4 linked regions of the Canis lupus familiaris genome follow. The protein of the gene in region 1 interacts with the protein of each later gene in a biochemical or structural test. Links are inferred from orthologs where the notes say so. Each region holds a gene or a part of one and is shown in the gene's direction. Other genes may lie near its edges. The genes, in order: RNF11, ITCH, SMURF2 and ZFYVE9.

Evidence for each region.
Region 2: the proteins of RNF11 (region 1) and ITCH form a complex in vitro, tested with the Homo sapiens proteins (2 studies listed by BioGRID and IntAct). The link is inferred for Canis lupus familiaris from reciprocal best matches to the Homo sapiens genes RNF11 and ITCH.
Region 3: the proteins of RNF11 (region 1) and SMURF2 form a complex in vitro, tested with the Homo sapiens proteins (3 studies listed by BioGRID and IntAct, with this or other methods). The link is inferred for Canis lupus familiaris from reciprocal best matches to the Homo sapiens genes RNF11 and SMURF2.
Region 4: the proteins of RNF11 (region 1) and ZFYVE9 form a complex in vitro, tested with the Homo sapiens proteins (2 studies listed by BioGRID). The link is inferred for Canis lupus familiaris from reciprocal best matches to the Homo sapiens genes RNF11 and ZFYVE9.

What each region holds. Positions count from the first base shown.
Region 1 is NC_049236.1:10,031,946-10,036,805, reverse strand, and holds the start of RNF11 (RING finger protein 11), read left to right. Parts: upstream 1-1,627; 5' UTR 1,628-1,731; coding exon 1,732-1,854; intron 1,855-4,860. UniProt on the Homo sapiens protein: Essential component of a ubiquitin-editing protein complex, comprising also TNFAIP3, ITCH and TAX1BP1, that ensures the transient nature of inflammatory signaling pathways. Promotes the association of TNFAIP3 to RIPK1 after TNF stimulation.
Region 2 is NC_049245.1:24,118,774-24,123,062, forward strand, and holds part of ITCH (E3 ubiquitin-protein ligase Itchy homolog), read left to right. Parts: intron 1-61; exon of another isoform or gene 62-203; intron 204-683; coding exon 684-843; intron 844-1,291; coding exon 1,292-1,425; intron 1,426-1,746; coding exon 1,747-1,887; intron 1,888-4,289. UniProt on the Homo sapiens protein: Acts as an Acts as an E3 ubiquitin-protein ligase which accepts ubiquitin from an E2 ubiquitin-conjugating enzyme in the form of a thioester and then directly transfers the ubiquitin to targeted substrates.
Region 3 is NC_049230.1:14,452,440-14,457,415, forward strand, and holds the start of SMURF2 (E3 ubiquitin-protein ligase SMURF2), read left to right. Parts: upstream 1-1,585; 5' UTR 1,586-1,636; coding exon 1,637-1,688; intron 1,689-4,976. UniProt on the Homo sapiens protein: E3 ubiquitin-protein ligase which accepts ubiquitin from an E2 ubiquitin-conjugating enzyme in the form of a thioester and then directly transfers the ubiquitin to targeted substrates.
Region 4 is NC_049236.1:9,125,829-9,130,117, reverse strand, and holds part of ZFYVE9 (zinc finger FYVE domain-containing protein 9), read left to right. Parts: intron 1-809; coding exon 810-979; intron 980-4,289. UniProt on the Homo sapiens protein: Early endosomal protein that functions to recruit SMAD2/SMAD3 to intracellular membranes and to the TGF-beta receptor.

The sequences.
Region 1 (4,860 bases):
CAATGGGAAGGAAGGTAAGTCTTGAGGAAGACAGGATGCAGCAAAACGGTTCTATTTAATATGGGATATGAGGACATTTAAGTAAGTGATTTTGTAGAATAGGGACTCCAAAGCTAGAGTACTCATGCCCATACTAGTTTAGAATCCTACCTCCAAGAATCATTTCTGATCCTCACCCACATGGTCTAAACAGTCTCCTTAGGGCTCTGCAAAAACTTTTGGTGGTGGAGGGGAGTAGGGACTCACTGTTTACTGGTCTCCCCAGCTGGACTCTGGGCTCCATCCGGGACAAAGCAGATCCGGTAAAAGAGCTTCCCTAGTGCCTAGCATGTGGTCTTGCGAGGGAAGAAAAAGAATCAGTGACTGGTGAATAAAAGAAAGAGAGTCAAGACCCGCTTCTTGTCCTCTGGGAGCATTCTCATCTTTCTTATTTCCTTCCTTTGCACATATTGCTTCTCGGGCTCTTTGTTCACTCAACCAAGAGGGCCTACTGTCCCTTAGGCAGCACCCAGGCCGTGCACAGAGGAGGGACAGATGATTCGGCTCGATCAGGCTGTGATGGGGAGAAGCTCAGGGACGAAGGGCATGGAGAAGGCCACCAGTCCAGACTGGAGGGTTAGAGGAAACGAAGTTGAATTTAGGAAGGACAACTGGGAATAACGGTTAGCCTGATGGGGGGTAGGAGGTCTGGCGTGAAGGCGAAGCGCGCGTAGGTCGGAGAAGCAGTTCGGGTGAAGGCCTCAGCCGGAGGGAACAGTCTTCTAAGAGAACCCGAGGTACTTTAGACAGCCCGCAGTTAGATATCTGAGGGGACAATGCTGCTAATGAGATTGGGGAAGTAGATCTGTAAACCGTTTAAGAATACTCCTAACGGTTTGGGTAAGCCAGTGAAGGTCTTAAATGGGGGGTCAATTTATGTTTTAAAAAGATCGCGCAGCTGTGTGAACGGTGGCCCGGCTCACGGGCGAGCTTGGACTTTATTCTGAAGGGAGAACGGGGAAGAAGCCTCCCTAACATTTCAACCCGGGAGCGACCCGTTGGGAGGAGGGTTTGCGAGCACATCACCCGGCCGGCGGCGGGCAGGAGGCTGCCTGAGGCGCGCCCGAGGGAGCAGGGACCCGCGGGAGGGAGCCCGCAGGGCGGCTTCCGAGGCCCGGCCCCGCCGCCAGGGCCCCGGGAACAGCCGCCGGGCGGGAGGGGGCGCGGCCGCGGCCGGAGACGCCCAGGGCTCGGGCGCCGGGGGCGGGCCCGGGGCACGCACGGCGCGTGACGCACGGCCGCGGCCCGCCTCGTTCTGGCCGCCGCCGCCGCTCTGAGGCGGAGTAGGATGAGGCCCGCGGCCGCGGCTCCGGCGTCGGCGGGGGCAGCAGCCGCTGAGGCAGCAGCTGGGGCAGCCGCGGCAGCCGCGCCCCCCGCCCCTGACCCGCGTTAGGCCCGGCAGCTCGGTGGCCGCCGCCGCCCCGCGGGGGGGCGGGGTGGGGAAGGGCTCCGTCTCCCCGCCCCCCCCCCCCAGTGCCGCCTCGCAGGAGGCGCCCGCCGCGACCCCAGCGGAGCCCAGCCTTGAGCCCCCGGGCCGGGGCCTGGCATGAGCAGCCCTCCGGCGGCGCCGGGGCGCGGGGGAGCCGCCGCCTGAGCCCGGCCTGCCGCCGACCCCGCCTCGCTGGCCCGGCGCGTGCGAACGGCCCGCCGCTGCTTCTGCCTCCTCCGGATCACACCTCGTAGCCTCGGAAGATGGGGAACTGCCTCAAGTCCCCCACCTCGGATGACATCTCCCTGCTTCACGAGTCCCAGTCCGACCGCGCTAGTTTCGGCGAGGGGACGGAACCGGACCAGGAGCCGCCGCCGCCATATCAGGTAGGGGAGGCTGTGTGTTGGGGAGGAGCGGGGCGAGGCGGCCCGAGCGGGGGGTGGGGGGGCGTCGGGGCCGGAGGGGAGCGGGGGAGCCGAGGGGGGCCGAGGGGCCGGGGGGGCGCCGAGGGGCTGTCACCGCCCCGGCCTCGCCGGGCCCGGCCTGGGGGGCGGCGGCCCTAGGGCGGGGACTGAAGGTGATCGCCGCCCCTCCCGGGGTAAGGGGGACCCTTCACCTCCCATCAGGAACGGCGTGGGGACGGCCCTCTCTGTCCTTGAGTTCTGGGATCCGAGTGGTGACAGTATCCTCCTCGCTTGTGGAATTTGGGGATGACCTCGTTCCGCCTTTATGTCTAAAGCGTGGAGTCTGGTATGAGATGTGGGGGACGTTTCCTCATCGCGCCGCCGCCTGGACTGTGGGTTCTGGGTAGGTCGTTGCCCCCCACCTCCTCGTCATGTGTGGCCATCCGCTCCCCCACCCCTCCCTGTACCCTGTGCGTTAATTGGATCTGGTAGGTGCTCATTTCTCCTACATGAGAAAAGATCAAGTGGTGATTTTAGTGCTGGCGACATCAGGAGTTACTTGTTTATACATATGTGTGTGTGTATGTATTAATTTTGATCCCTCCTCCTCTCGCTCCACCCTATGACACACCTTTTAAACGCGCTGATTCAATAAAACTTGAGTATCTTGAACTTTGGAAACCTTTAAACCTGACTTGAATATCTTCTGTTACTCGTGGTTCTCACTTCGTATCAAAGACTTGCTCCTAAACAGTTTCATCGCTTTTTGTACAGCAATCCGTCCTATATATGTTTACAGTTAATAAAAAAGCTAAGATCTCTTGAACTCCAAATAGATAATGTAGATCTTATTTAGAATATATAAAAACCTTTTCTCTACTTTTCAATTTTGAATGATATTGGTTAGCTTTTTTTCCAGAGGGGTTTAAATAGTTAAATGCCTTAATTTTTTAGCTGAAGGGGGTTTAGTTTTCTAACCGGGCAGTCTCCTTTGTTGTTTCATGTGGTGACATCATTATCTAGTGTTATTCTTCTCTCATTCCTGTGTAAACCAGTGTCTCATCACACCAGAAAAACCTGATCACATATCCTGGTTTTGTGAATAAAACCCTCAGGGTCCTTTCATATATATATGCCAATAAAGTCCAGTCTTAATCGTGGCATACAGAAGCCTCCATGGTTTATCTTTCACATTCTGTATTTCAGGCCTGCCAAATACATCAGTTCACATCTCTGCCTTTGCTCCAGTTGCTCCCTCTGCTAGGATCCCTTCCCCCAAGGTCAGCAAGGTGAACATCTAATCCTCTTTAAAGACTCAGCTCTCCTGTCACCACTCTCCCAGGTCTCTACCTTCCCCTCCCTCCCTCTGTGAATCCATCCCTCAGTTGTTTGTGTAGCACCCTCCACCCCCCCACCCCCATTCCATAAGCAGCACAAACAACACTTGGGGTGTTAATATCTTTGTTTTGTTAGATGTAGGTTTCATCCTTATGGCATTTCCTTCTGCCTCCAGTGTAAGCTGCTGGCAGGTAGGGACCCTTATGTCACCTGCTATGCTGTTACATCCCCAGCATCTGGCTCATAGTAAATATTCAGTAACTTGTGGGATAAGTGAAGACTAAGCTCTTAAGAACAAGGACTGTATCCTCAATGTTTCATGAAATTACTGGCACTTAAAAAAAAAAAAGAAATTACTGGCACTTAAGCATTTAAATGTTGAATGAATTAATGAATTTGAATTCAGTACCTTGTGTGGTAAGTTTACACACCTGTTTCTTCCAGAGAGTGTCACAGGGAAGTCTTTTCATCTTTTTGAATCTTTGAAGCAAGTAAATTGTTTATATTTCACTTTTCATTTCCCTCAAATACTATAGGACAATGTGCTTATTTTAGCTTCCTGAGCAAATTTTTGTAGAGGTATGATTTTTATTTCAAAATCTCCTTCCATACTCCCTAATCCCTTTCCAGGCAAATTAAATATCCTGAGTTCATGGCCCTTTTTCTCTTACCCGCACGGTAATACAGTGTTAAGGATAACTTAATTTTTAGGAATTGTATTTGGTTTTTCCAGGAGAACTAGGTGATAGATTTTTTTTTAAATCATGAAGGAACATGTTATTTGTGACAGCAGGAGTTTTTGTGGTTGCCCTTTTTTGAAGTGAGTGACCCAGATACTGATGCAAATTTCGTATCAATTGAAATAAAACTTTAATGGGAGCATAAAGAAACTTTTGTAGAAAAAGCTTTGTCCCCTCCCAAAGGAAATAAGATTTTTAGGAATGGTTAATTTAAATGATCTGAGAAACACCAGTCCAAACACCAGTCCAAGAAATGATTTATATTTTCAGTGGACAGAAGTAACATTTTTTCTTCAAAAATAGTATATAATTAAAAGAGCTACAAGAATAGCATATTTCTTGAAAGAATAGTCTCAGCTGCAATAGGATCTTTAAAAATCTTTAAAGCTGATTATAGAGGAACACAGTATTTTTCTGTAGTGGGTGGTTAAAAGATGTCCTTTTTGTGTTGCACGGTGTAGGCTAATGCTAAGAGCTCTACTTAGTAAATTTCTAGGTTATTTCCTATTAGCAGGACCTGACAGATGTATTTAATTTATGTTTAAAAAGTAAACTCTATGCCATTATAGTGAAAGTTTATAGGAAGTACCTGTTTATTTCCTGTGTTTAGTTAGTATTCTAACTGGTCTCACTGTATTCACCCTTGCCTTCCCTACAGTCTGTTCTTAACCCAGCAGTCAGTTATTCTGGTAAAACAAATCATGTCTCAAAAAAATAACAACTACAAATCATGTCTCTTGGTGCAACCTTATGTGGATCTCCATTTCATTCACAGTAAAAGGCAAATCCCTCTGTGTCCATAAGCCCTACGTTATCTGTATATCCCCAACACATATCTCTCTTGATGCTGACTTCTTACTAGTTTTCCCCCTGCTGACATCCCTTTAGCTTCTTTGGCCTACTTGTTCCT
Region 2 (4,289 bases), on another chromosome or scaffold:
TAGTGTATAGTAACTATAATCTTATTTTAATATTGGTTGATATTTTCACAGTTGACTTAGAGCTCCTCAGAGCATTTATCTAATGAATGAGTGGCTTCAATTAAGTGTTTTATTGTCTTTGTGAAATTGGAAGTTCTTTCAATTAGCAATAATCGCGCCTCAGATAAACCTCATTGGCTATGATACTGCCACTGCGCAAAGCTGCAAGATTTTTAGAGAGCAGTGACATCTGATGAGAATTGCTGTGAGGCTTAGTAACAGATGGAATAATATTAGACCTCCTTCAGTTGCTTTAACTACATGGGTTAATAATGAATATTAAACTTGGCTCTATAATAGTATTTCATTGATTCTAAGACTAATGCTCACTAATTGATAAATTGATTTAAATGTCTCTGACATTGGGATGTGTATCACAATTATAATTAGAAAAATTTTTAGTAGCTCATTGAATAATGGTGTCTTTTAAGTCGATGATGTCTTAGATTCTCTGAAATATAATATGGAGTGTGTAAGTATCATCTCTATAAACTAGATGTCTATCTGAATAGAAGCAGTTAAAAATCAACATGAGATTAGAAAACTGTCACCAGCCAAGGAGTATAGATTCCTGAGAACTTTGTAGCACTGCACTTTGATTTATTGGCATGGTTTTTTCACCCTAAATTTTCTTTTGATTTCAGAGAGTGGTTCTTTCTTTTGTCACACGAGGTGTTGAACCCAATGTATTGCCTGTTTGAATATGCAGGGAAGGATAACTACTGCTTGCAGATCAATCCCGCTTCTTACATCAATCCAGATCACCTGAAATATTTTCGTTTTATTGGCAGGTTTATTGCTATGGTAAGTACTGGTGAACTCTGTTTACTTTGCTAATTCACCAATATTAAGGTATTGTTTCTTTAACATTTAACTTTCTCATTTGAAATTTTCTCATCACTAAGATTTTTTTTTAAGATTGGTTTGTTATGGGCAGCCCGGGTGGCCCAGCGGTTTAGCGCCGCCTGCAGCCCAGGGCGAGATCCTGGAGACCCCGGATCGAGTCCCGCGTCGGGCTCCCTGCATGGAGCTTGCCTGTGTCCCTCCCTCTGCCTGTGTCTTTGCCTCTCTCTCTCTCTCTCTCTCTCCCTCTGTCATGAATAAATAAATAAAATATTAAAAAAAAAAAGATTGGTTTGTTATATTTGCTATTTTCCCAAAAATGTGCCATAATAGATGACAGGGGAGCTTTATATGAAGAATTAATTAATCTAACATTCTATCATAAAAGGTTTATTTTCTTCTCATATAGGCTCTGTTCCATGGAAAATTCATAGACACAGGTTTTTCTTTGCCATTCTATAAGCGTATATTGAACAAACCAGTTGGACTGAAGGATTTAGAATCTATTGATCCAGAATTTTACAATTCTCTCATCTGGGTTAAGTAAGTTTGTTTCCGTTTAATTTATCAAAATATAGTCTATATGATTTCATTATGATGTTGGTAACCTGCCCAAACTGTAAGCAAGTAATTGGTTTATTGAATTTAAATATTAAACTTGTCTCATCCAGTATAATAAATTTTACAGAATACACCTGATATGTTAGGTAAAAATATAATGACTTTAGAGCGTAATCTTTCCAGTTTTCATATTATTTTGATCCTATGGTTTTAGAGTAATTATTGAAGAACACAGTCCTTTAGTTAAATACTTTTTATATGATTGAATTAGTGTAACAAATAGTATTAATTTCATTTGTGCAGAGAAAACAATATTGAGGAATGTGGTTTGGAAATGTACTTCTCTGTCGATAAAGAAATTTTAGGTGAAATCAAGAGTCATGATTTGAAACCTAATGGTGGCAATATTCTTGTGACAGAAGAAAATAAAGAGGAATATATCAGGTGAGAGAATGCTCCTTTTAATGTACTTCAAAGCCTTTCTGTTGGGCTACAGCACATTGATAATTGCCTAGTGATACTAGTGGACAGTATTTTAAAATAATGTTTGCCTTTTTACTAATCATTATGAGAACTGATCATGTATAACAAGGACGTGATTGATTGCTTTCTAACTTACAAGTATGTTGAGAGAGGAACAAGGAAAGTGCTATGGAAAGTCAAATGAGGGAGACATCATTTAGTTGTAATCATGCAGCAAGTAGCTGGTGGTCATATTTAATATGAGCTTTGAAGGTTGGGGAGGATTCACTTGTGTAGAAATGAGAACTGAAGTTAATGGGCAGAGATACAAAGGCTGGAAAGCACAAGTCACAAATAGTAACTAGGGAAGTATAGTGTGTGGTGGTGCTTTTAGGCAGCTCAGAGCTGATATCCCGTTCTACCATGTCCTGAATTTCAGAGGCCAAGGAAAATGAGGAATCTTTAGAAGATATGGAGGCTAATAAGTTATTATAACCCTTAAGAGAACAGTTAGAACTATACCCAAGTGGTAGATAGAGAAGCCACATTATAAGAAACTAAGGACCGGGATCCCTGGGTGGCTCAGCAGTTTAGAGCCTGCCTTTGGCCCAGGGTGTGATCCTGGAATCCCGGAATCGAGTCCCACATCGGGCTCCCAGGATGGAGCCTGCTTCTTCCTCCTCCTGTGTCTCTCCCTCCCTCTCTCTCCCCCTCTCTCCCTCTCTCCCTCTCCCCCTATGTTTATCATAAATAAATAAATCTTAAAAAAAATTTAAGGACCAAATTAGGTAGACAATCTAAATTTCAACTTTAACATCTGGCAGCAGAATAAGAAGTAGAACAGATTCTTGTGGAGGCAGCAGGGTAGAGAGACTGTCCTGCCAGTTAACTTAAACTAAATTTTACAAAGAATTAATCTAATGGAAAAAAAAAAAAAGAATTAATCTAATGGGTACTGATAGGTTTTATACCCCTTTTCTTGGCATATTTTCAGTTTAACCACAATTTGAAGATTATAAAGGGATAGAAAAGAATGTTGATTATATAGAACTTTCACTTTTTTCCTCCCAAATTGGGAGTTTTAAGAGTAGAAATAGTGCTAGGTCACTCTTTTAAATACCAGTCTGTAACCACTGTGCCATGTAACATTGAGTCATTGAAAAGAATCTGAAATTTATATGCAGATATTTTTGTGGGGAGTACTCTAAGATCAGATAAAATTTATAAGTAAAATAATTTATAATGTATCCTCTCACGCTTGCTGAATTGATTGATACTTTAGTGTCAAGAGTTATAGTTCATTCACATATTCTCAACACCAGCTCTGTTTAGAGCAGCGTTAGTTTCCATATATCTGCTTTTTCTTGAGTTACAGTTTCTGGGTCTCTTGCTTGCTTTTTCACTTTTTAAATATTAATATATTCACTCCAGCCTTCCTGTGACTAGTATTTATGTAATAGATCTTCCTCTATCCTTTAGTTTTCAGTCCTGTCTCTGTGTATTTATTTAAAAAAAAATTTTTTTAAAGATTTTATTTACTCATGAGAGACACACAGAGAGAGAGGCAGAGACACAGGCAAAGGGAGAAGCAGGCCCCATGCAGGGAGCCCGACATGGGACTCGATCCCGGGTCTCCAGGATCACACCGAAGGCAGCACTAAACCGCTGAGCCACCCAGGCTGCCCTGTATATCTGTGTATTTAAAGTATGTTTCTGACAAGTAGCATATTCTTGGATCTTAATATTTTCATCCAGTCTGATAATCTTTACTTTTTAAATGCACTGTTTAGTACCATTTACATTTAATATGATTACTGATATGGTTGGAGTGAAGTCTGCCACCTTGCTATTTAATTATCCTAACTTCCTTTGTTCTTCCTTTCCTGCCTTCTTTTGAATTAATAGTTTTTTTAACCTGTCAGATTTTTTTAAAACTATCCCTCTTTAATTATTTTAGTGACTGCTCTAATGATTATAATATATATCCATAATGTCTCACTTATAATTAAGATCATATACATATTATATAACATATTACACTACTACTTGTACAATAGTAAGAAGCTCATAATATAATTTCAGTTATCTCTATTTGTGCAACTGTTGTCAGATTTCTTACCTTATAAACCACATTATTATTAGTTCTTGCTTCAAGCAATTATTAGATTTTTTTAAGTTTTTATTTAAATTCCATTTAGTAGGGTAGCCCTGGTGGCTCAGCGGTTTAGCACCGCCTTCGGCCCAGGGTGTGATCCTGGAGACCCGGGATTGAATGCCATGTCGGACTCCCTGCATGGAGCCTGCTTCTCCTTCTGCCTGTGTCTCTGACGCATGCACAGGCATGCTCTCTCTCTCTCTCTCTCTCTCTCTCTCTCATGAATAAA
Region 3 (4,976 bases), on another chromosome or scaffold:
ATGCACCGGGAGCCCGATGTGGGATTCGATCCCGGGTCTCCAGGATCGCGCCCTGGGCCAAAGGCAGGCGCCAAACCGCTGCGCCACCCAGGGATCCCCATACGACTTTTTGATGTGCTTTTAAACTTTATTTGTAAACTCTTCCATATTATATGATCTTCATAATTGCCATTTAAATGGCTGCATAAAAATCGATGCGGATGATGTAATACAGTTCACCATTAGGCTGTTCCCTCATTCCCCCTTTTGTTATTAACCGAACTTTTCAAAGAAACATCTTCTGTCTTAATATATATGTATAAAAAAAAATTCCCAAGAGTGCAATTACAGGGTCAAATGGCAAGGTACACTTATTTTTATTTCATTTTCTATCTCTTTTTTTCTTCCCGAGATAACGAGATACAGTTCTGTATGAAAAGCTTTTCAAACACTGCTCTCCAAGGCTTATCTTGATAATAATCCTTTAAGGTATTATTATCAATCGCCTATCCTCCGAGATGCAGCTGGAAAAAGAGCCGGAGCGGGCAGGTAACCTGATCTCGTCCACCAGGTGAGTCCAGGATGGAGGTGGCAGCCGGGATACTAGGAGCACAACACCGCAGGGGGGTTGCAGGGGCGCCTGGTGTGGGAATCGTGGCTCTTCCCTCACCCCAGCGACGCTGAATTCCCCGAGGGCAGGGGGCTCGGTTCCAACCTCGCTCGCTCCAGCCCCCTAGAGCGCCGTGCACGCAGTGGGCATCGAAGAGGTGCAGTCGGCGTCGCACGGACAAAAGCTCTCCCTTCAGTGGGCTGGACACCAAGCCCCTCCTGGTGCCACCGAGCTCGGCGCCGCCACTTTCTTCCTTTCGCCGGCTGTCTCCACCAAGTTCCGCGTGGGACCCTCGGCGGCGGCGGCGAGCTCCCCCGCCCTTCTCCGCCCTTCCCCGCCTGCGCCCAGGCCCGCCCGGGCCCCGCGCCCCGCGCCCCGCGCCCTCGCGCCCCCGCGCCCCGGGCACCCAGCGCGCGCCCGCCCGCCCGCCAGGCCCCGCCCCGCCGGCCCCGCCTCCCGTCTCCTCCCCGCCCCCCGGAGCCGACGAGTGGCGGCGGCGGCCCCAGGACCCGGTTCCCTCAGACAAGAGGGCGGGTGGAGGAGGAAGCGGCCGAGCCCCGAGTCCTGCTCCGGCGCCGCCGAGCGCCGCCCGCCTCGGCCGAGCAGCGCCGGCGGCTCCTCCTGGGCCTCGCCGAGCCGAGGGGAGGGACGGGCGGAGGCGGCCGCGGGCGGGCGGCGGGGGCGCGGGCGCGGGCGGAGGCGGCGCGGCCGGCCGCGGCTGCCGCTTTGTTGTGCGGCCCGGGCCGAGGAAGGAGAAGTGGGAGGAGGGGGGAGCTCGGCGTCCCGCTCCCTCCGCGGCTCATGGCGACGACGCTCGGCACATCCGGGACCCTCCGGCCGTGGCGGCCGCGGCGCCGGCTGCTCGGGCCCCAGCCCCGGCCGCTGTGGTGACTCCGCCGCGCCTCGCCGTCGCCCCCGCCCCGCCCGCCCGCCGGCCCCGGGCCCCGCGCCGCGGCCGCAGCCCCGCCGCCGCCGCCGCCGCCGCCGCCGCCGCAGCAGCAGCCCCGCCGCCGCCGCCGCCGCCGCGCCGCCCCCGCCGCCGGGGACATGTCTAACCCCGGGGGCCGGAGGAACGGGCCCGTCAAGCTGCGCCTGACAGGTGAGGGGAGCCGAGGGGGGCGGCCGCGGGGCGGGCGAGCCGGCGGGGGGTGCCTGTGGCCTTGGGAAGGGCCAGGGTCGTGATCAATGGTGAGCCGGGGGTCGGGGACGGGGGAAGGCCTAGTTCAGGGAGAGGAGTGGCAACGGGCTCGCCCCGCTCGGGAGGTTCGGGAGCGAGCCGACCGGTGTCGGGGTCTTTTGTTGAGGGGCGGGCTGCCCGGTGGGACGCGCGGGCTGACTGGAGGTCGGCGCGCGCTGGCCGAGGAGCACGGCTCTCCGCGGGGCTGCCGCCCAGGTGGGGTCGTCGAGGGGGCGACGAGCTCCCGTGGCGGGGATTGTTGAATCCGGCCGCTGACTGCGCGCAGTAAACACTCCTTAAAGATGGAGCGCTTAACGGGAGGGTGTGTGTGTGTGTGTGTGTGTGTGTGTGTGAGAGAGTGTGTGTTCCCTGGTAACTTGTTCGCCCACTGTGCCCGCCTGCAAGACCTTCACTCTCCGCCGCCGGCCGCTGCGGCCGGTGCCACACACCTGAAACGCAAGTCCTTGGGAAGGGGGAGGAGACCGAGGTGGATTTTTTTTTTTTTTTTTTTTTTTTTCCGGTGTGTCCGCCTGCTCCGCCGACTCTGGCTCATTGTACACTCTGTGTTTTGGAAGTGTTTGATTGTAGGGTAGCATGTTTTGGGTTGTTCCTTGTAGGCCGCAGAACTTGTGTCTCACTACTAACTCCAGACCTGCTCTAAGAACACACTTTTTTTTTTTTTTTTGAGGGTACGTTTCGAAGTATGTGCTCATACAAATTTGCAAGGGAAGTTTTGTCTCTTCTCCCCTCCTCCCCTTTCCTTTTCTAAATGGAAAAGAATGTATGGAGGGGTTCCTAGGTAGAAGGCTTCTTTCTCTCTTGCAAAATGTTTCTGATTCAGAGTGCATTAAATCTTTAACGTTACAGGTACATTTTGCTGACACAGTGCCGTTTTTTGGTGTTCTTACATGGTCGTGTCACCTCATCTTAAGGACAGATTACTTTTGGTTTGAAAAGTGGAATTGAAATCACTGTCGCTCTCCCAGTTTCACCATTCAGTATTATCCGCGTCGATGTTTGGATGTGTGGTGAGAAAAATGGTTTTCCTTAGAGGTTGTGTGTGTGTGTGTGTATGTGTGTGCACGCGCGTGTGAGAATAAACTGTAATTATGTTTGCCTACACTAGACATTGAGATTTATATGGACTAATTTTGTAATTGAATGCTTGTGTGTCACATCCCAGTCCACTGGCTGAACTTTGCAGATTAAAACTTGCAGTGAATTTGGTATTTGAGAATTTAGTCTGACTGTAAATTGGCTGCGATTTTAAAAATATATGACTTGTACGACAGTTTTACTTTCTCTAGGGAAAAATTGCAAAGAATCATGAACTGAGTGGTTCTTAATGGAAAACCTGGGTTAGGGATCCCCTCCCCCCCCCACTACCGTTGCCCCCATTCAGTTTCCTTTGGAAACCTTTATAAGGGATCTTTGTTGCTTTAGGGTTTATCTACTGATGCTCTTCTCTGGAATCAGTCCCGTGGTGGTGATCACAGAAAGAACCTGTGATTCTAGGTGTTCAAAAAACCTCAGAAATAGGCTGTTGACCATTTACTTCCTTCTAGGCTATGTGCATCATGAGAAAATGAAGGAGAAAACAGGTATTTCGGAGGTTTTTTTTTTTTTTTTAGATATAATGAGTTTGAAATTTTTAAAAGATCTTAATGTGTTTATTTGTGGTTTCCTTACAGTCTATGATACATTATAAAAATCCATGAGTAAACTTAGGAGAAAAGATGACACCTCTTTTTTTTGGGGGGGGAGAGGGAACACTGGGCTAAATTTATAGAGTGATTTTGTATTTTTAGATTTTTCTGTGGAATATTAAATACACTGTGTCCCCTTAATTGTAAAAGCAGTTTGAGGTACTCTCAGTTTTTGAAAACCATTGAGAATTTGTCTCTGTCATATTTTAAGAAAAAGCTATTCAGATATTAAAAACATTGCCCTCTCCTTTTTGGTTATATTTGGTGGATTCTGTTTTGCCAGGAAAGTTAACTTATATTTTCTCATTTTTGTCCATTTACAAATTAGATGGTATAGATTTTAACAAATAGATTTCAAGAGCTGGATTCAATTAGCAGCTTTTTAGGACATAAACATTAAAGGGTTAGATGGAAAAGATTGTTTTGACTGACTGGATAAATGACAGGGCTGTGTTTGATGTGCGTCCAGGAATTGGTCTGGAGCTGGTGCCCAACTTTTCAGTCCATCTTGAGAAGCCAAATAAAATATTTAACCTAGGCCTCGTTTTGTTTGAAAAAAAAAAAAAAGTTGATTCTTTGTTAAGACCTTAAGAAATGTTTGGCATACCTTTAGACTAAGTGTTTAACAGTTCATTTAGATCCGGGTTCCATAATAAGGAAAATTACTTAAAAAAAAAAAAAAAAAGACACATCCCACAGTGAATTTTTATTTGGTTTACAATACACTTGGACTGTAAGATGCTTTAAAATTATTGTTCTTTGCCTTAAGTCAGTATCATACTAGTATTTTAAGTTTATATAAAATGTCTTTGATTCCATGGTGCTTTATGAACTGTAGTCAATTCTATCTTTAACATAGAGTTGTCCCTTTACTGAAAGGTATAAACAGTTTTTACGTGATGACACACACACATACAGTCACACATACACACAGGCTGGAGAAGAAATATTTGAGCCATGAGATCTCTGCCCACGACAAATATTATTAGACTTTTCCATGTATTATTCCTTAGCCCACACTTACCTAGTGAACTGTTTGGTGTTTTTGATGCTAAGGAGGTAGGGTTAATTTAATCCCACATTTGAGATTCCTCAGGCCATTGGTAGTTAAAATCTGATTTGGTCCATCAAGTACTTTGGTTGTTCTTAATGACACATTAACAATCATTAAAAGCGGCTGTATGGTAAAGCTATCAATTTCAACTGTTATTTCTATAGGAAATTGATTATAAAATATAAAATTTGTATTCATTGTACTTATGAATATCTGATATAAGCTTTTCTTACAATGCTTTGGATAGAAAACATCCTTTGAATTTGGTTACAGTAAAAAATTGGGGTAAATTTTTTATATCCTTGTTGTTTTTTGAAAACCAAAATCTTGAAAAAGCAGTTTAGTATAATTTCTTTTTTTTTTAAATTTTATTTATTTATTCATGAGAGACACCGATTGAGAGAGAGAGAGGCAGAGACACAGGCAGAGGAAGAAGCAGGCTCCATGCAG
Region 4 (4,289 bases), about 910 kb from region 1:
CATTGTCATATTCTTCCCCATTTTCCCCTCTCTTCAGATCATCCCTTAGTCATACCTTGTATTTTTATGAGTTCAGACTTTCTTTCTTAAAATCTTTATTCTCTTCATTTGTTGTTTTTGTTGTTCTTTGCTAGTCGTTCTTTGTTTTGGTTGTTTGGAATTGATTTTCAGAACTGGATTTAAAGAGATCATTTCATCAGACCTAGTGTTCCAGCTTTTCCCCTATTGCGAACTACTTTTGCACTGCCAGGTCACTCTTTTTTCATCTTCAGTTACACTTCAGCCAAAAATCTGGTCAGTTTGCTTCCCAACTCTCTTATATATCTGTGCCAACTCTTCCTTTATTAGTAAATAATTCTTGAACATTCTTCAGGGCATCTTTTGCCCTTTAAAAATACCAAATCACTTTTCCAGATATTTAATTCCTGGGGAAACTTCATACTTTTAGGAGATGTGGCTATCTATTGCTAGATATTTTTCCCCTGCTATTAATTTATTTCTTAGGCACTTAAAAAACCTTTTTTAGTTTCTCTGTCAATAATAGGGAACAGAGTATGTGACATTATCATAAGTGTACTTAATATTTTAAAGCAAAGTGTTTTAAATCTTTAAGTTACAGAAATAAAGAATATATTTAAACTCATATTTTATTTATAACTACTTTTAAACACAGTTACAATTCTTATATTTATAAGATGCTAAGAAGTGATTTCTTAGTACTTCTGGAATTGGTGACCTTCTCTTCTTTGATGTTAAGAAATCCTACCAATATCACATTGATACCTGTTTTATTTTTCTGGCTCCTCAAGTGGCTCAGCCCAGAGAGCAGAGGCGAGTTTGGTTTGCTGATGGGATCCTGCCTAATGGAGAAGTTGCTGATGCAGCCAAATTAACGGTGAATGGAACTTCCTCTGCAGGAACCCTGGCTGTGTCACATGACCCAGTTAAGCCAATAACTACCAGTCCTCTACCAGCAGAGGTAAGAAAATAAAACAGCAGCTAAAAATGAGTACTTAGTTTACTCAGCATTGTGCTGCTTCTGCCTTGCCGCTTTCTAAGTTGAGTGACCTTTCTATGGAACCCTGTGGGTTTCAGATACAGTTTAGTGCATATGTCTGTGTGTCTAGGGGTAAAGTAAAGGTGGCAAAATCAGGTTTTTTTAAAATAAAGGTTTATTTATTTATTCATGAGACACAGAGAGAGAGAGAAAGGCAGAGACACAGGCAGAGGGAGAAGAAGCAGGCTCCCTGCAGGGAGCCCGATGTGGGACTCGATCCCAGGACCCTGGGATCACACTCTGAGCCAAAGGCGGGCGCTCAACCACTGAGCCACCCAGGTGTCCTGGCAAAATCAGTTCTTGTTTGCTCTATATTTAGAGTTTTTTTTTTTTTTTTCCAAGAGAAAGACTCTTATAAAGGTTGTTCTCAGTGGGCTCAGGCTACTGCTGTAGTTAGATAGAGGTCATGCAGAGGAAATCCTGCCGCCTTTGTACGTTGGTTTTCAAACTATGTTCCCCAGCTTCTTTGGTGATGTCTTGGGAGTGCCATGGTGAGGAAGGGCCAGGCCATATACAGGTGGCTGAGGAGTCCCTCTCTTCCTTTCTCTTCAACTGAGCATCTCTACTTTCTTCTGTTCTTTTTGGTTTCTATGTAAGATTTTTAAAGACTTTATTTTTAAGTGACCTCTACATCCAACGTGGGGCTCAAACTTAAAACCCCAAGATCAAGAGTTGTGCAATCTACCAACTGAGCCAGACAGGTGACCCTGATAGGTTTTTAAAATATAAATTTTGTTTGACTGCAAGAGGAAGTTCTGGTAAGTGAATATTACAGGGAAACGGTTCAGCTCAGTTTGCAAAACTAAACCAAGATATTTTATTTCTTTTACATTGTTCAACACTCTATTTTATTTTATTTTTTTAAGATTTTATTTATTTATTCATGAGAGACACACAGAGGCAGAGACACAGGCAGAGGGAGAAGCAGGCTCCATGCAGGGAGCCCGATGTGGGACTCGATCCCGGGGCTCCAGGATCATACTCTGGGCCGAAGGCAGGTGCCAAACTGCTGAGCCACCAAGGCATCCCTCAACACTCTATTTTTAAACACTTATCTGGTAAAATGTAGGAAAACAAATTTAGGGCCAGGCTAGAATATATTTTTCTCATCTTAATGGTTCAGTAAAATGCATGGCACTAAGTAGGTGCTCAGGGAATGAAATAAATTCCTTTTCACAGATGATACATAAGAGGAAACCAGATGACCACTTTCTGTGAAACTAAAAGATAGATTTATGCATCAATAAATAATAAGGTAGAATAGATTATTTCCTCTGTTAGGTTTCAAATCAGTAATAATGGTTTGTCAATAAAATTTTCCAGTGATGAGAACACTGCAAAATTTTTAGCAAAAACCTGCTAAAAACTGATAGAGTCCTAAATAATAGCATAGACAAAAATATAGTAGGACATGGACATATTTTTTAAAAAATAGTTTTAATCTTTATTCAAGTATAAAATCTAGATAGCATTGTGCTTGAGGCACATTAATCTTTAAGAAGCAACTTGATGAACTTATGGACACACCCATGCAACCACCATCCAAGTGAAAATACTCTAGAGGGTTCCCTTGTGTCCTTTTCAATACTTGCCTGTGTTTTCCCCAAGGTAATCATTATTTTGATTTGTATTACCATGGATTACTTTTGACTGTTCTTAAATTTCATCTAAATGCAAACATAGTATATAGTAGTTTGTGTCTTCCTTCTTATGAAGATTTGATTATGAGATTTATCCATGATGTGTGCATCAAAAGTTGGTATTTTTTTTATTGCTGGGTAATGTTCCACAATATACCACAATTTTTCTGTTTTCCTGTTAACGGACATTTGGATGGTTTCCAGTTTATGGCTATTATGAATAAAGCTGCTATAAACACTTTTATTTTTTATTTGTCTTTTTAGGAGGATTTTATTTACTTATTTGAGAGAGAGAGAGAGCGAGTATAAGCAGGGAGAGAGAGAAAAAAAAAAAAAAAAGCAGGGAGAGAGGCAAAGGGAGAGTTCCAGGGCACTGGGGATCATGACCTAAGCTGAAGGTGGACACTTAACGAACAGCCATCCAGGTGCCCCTATAAATATTTTAAAACATGTTAAAAACAGTTTTTAAATGCTTTTATTTTAACATTTTTTAAAGCTTCTTCTTTTCTTTTTTCTTTTTTTTCTTAATTGTTAGAGAGTATACTGAAGAGAGCATTATTTTAATAATCTTTGAGTGTATTCTATTAAGTTGTTAATTAAATGGATTTAACCCCAAATGTGTCTTGCAGCATTATACTTTATTGGAGTAGTTAATGTGAACTTCATATTAATGCAAAGAAAAATGAACTTGAAGTTTTATTTCACTGCATAACAAAAGAAAACAATGACTTGTTTTAATCTCTGTATTTTTTAAAGATTGATTTGAGAGCAAGAGCAAGCATGAACTTGCCCACAAGCAGGGGGAGGTCACAGGGAGAGGGAAAGAAATTCTCCAGTATAATCCCTGCTGATGTGGAGCCCAATGTGGGGCCTGGACCCAGGACCCTGAGATCACAATCTTAGCTGAAATCAAGAGTCAGATGTTTATCAGACTGAGCCACCCAGATGCTCGTTTATTCTGTATTTTATCAGTTAATTTTTTTCTCTTTTTTTATTGTGGTAAAATACACATAACATAAAATCCTTCATTTTAGTTATTTTTAAGTGTACAAACCAGTGGTATTAAGTCCATTCACATTGCTGTACAACCATCACCACTATTCTCAAAGTTTGTTTTATTTTTTACAGTTTTTATTTTATTTTTTTAAGAGACAAGTGGATGGAGGGGCAGAGGAGAGAGAGAATCTTCAGCAGGCTCCAGTGGAGTGGAGCCAGGCAAGGAGCTCGATCTCACAACCCTGAAATCATGACCTGAGTCGAATCAGGGACATTTAACCAACTGACCCATACAGGCGTCCCTTTTTATTTTTAAAAAGCAATGTAAATGAGACTTTTTTTTTTAGAGCTTTTAATTTTATTTGAGAGAGGGAGAGAGAGCAATGAGTGGGGGGGAGGGGCAGAAGGAGAGGGAGAAGTAGATTCCCCACTGAGCAGGGAGCCTGACCTGATGTGAGACTTGATCTCAGGACCCTGAGATCCTGACCTGAGCTGAAGGCAGATGCTTAACCGACTGAGCCACCCAGACATCTATGTAAATGAGACTTCAAGTGGACCCAAATGCATTAAAGGTTCAGAAATTGAGATAATACTGA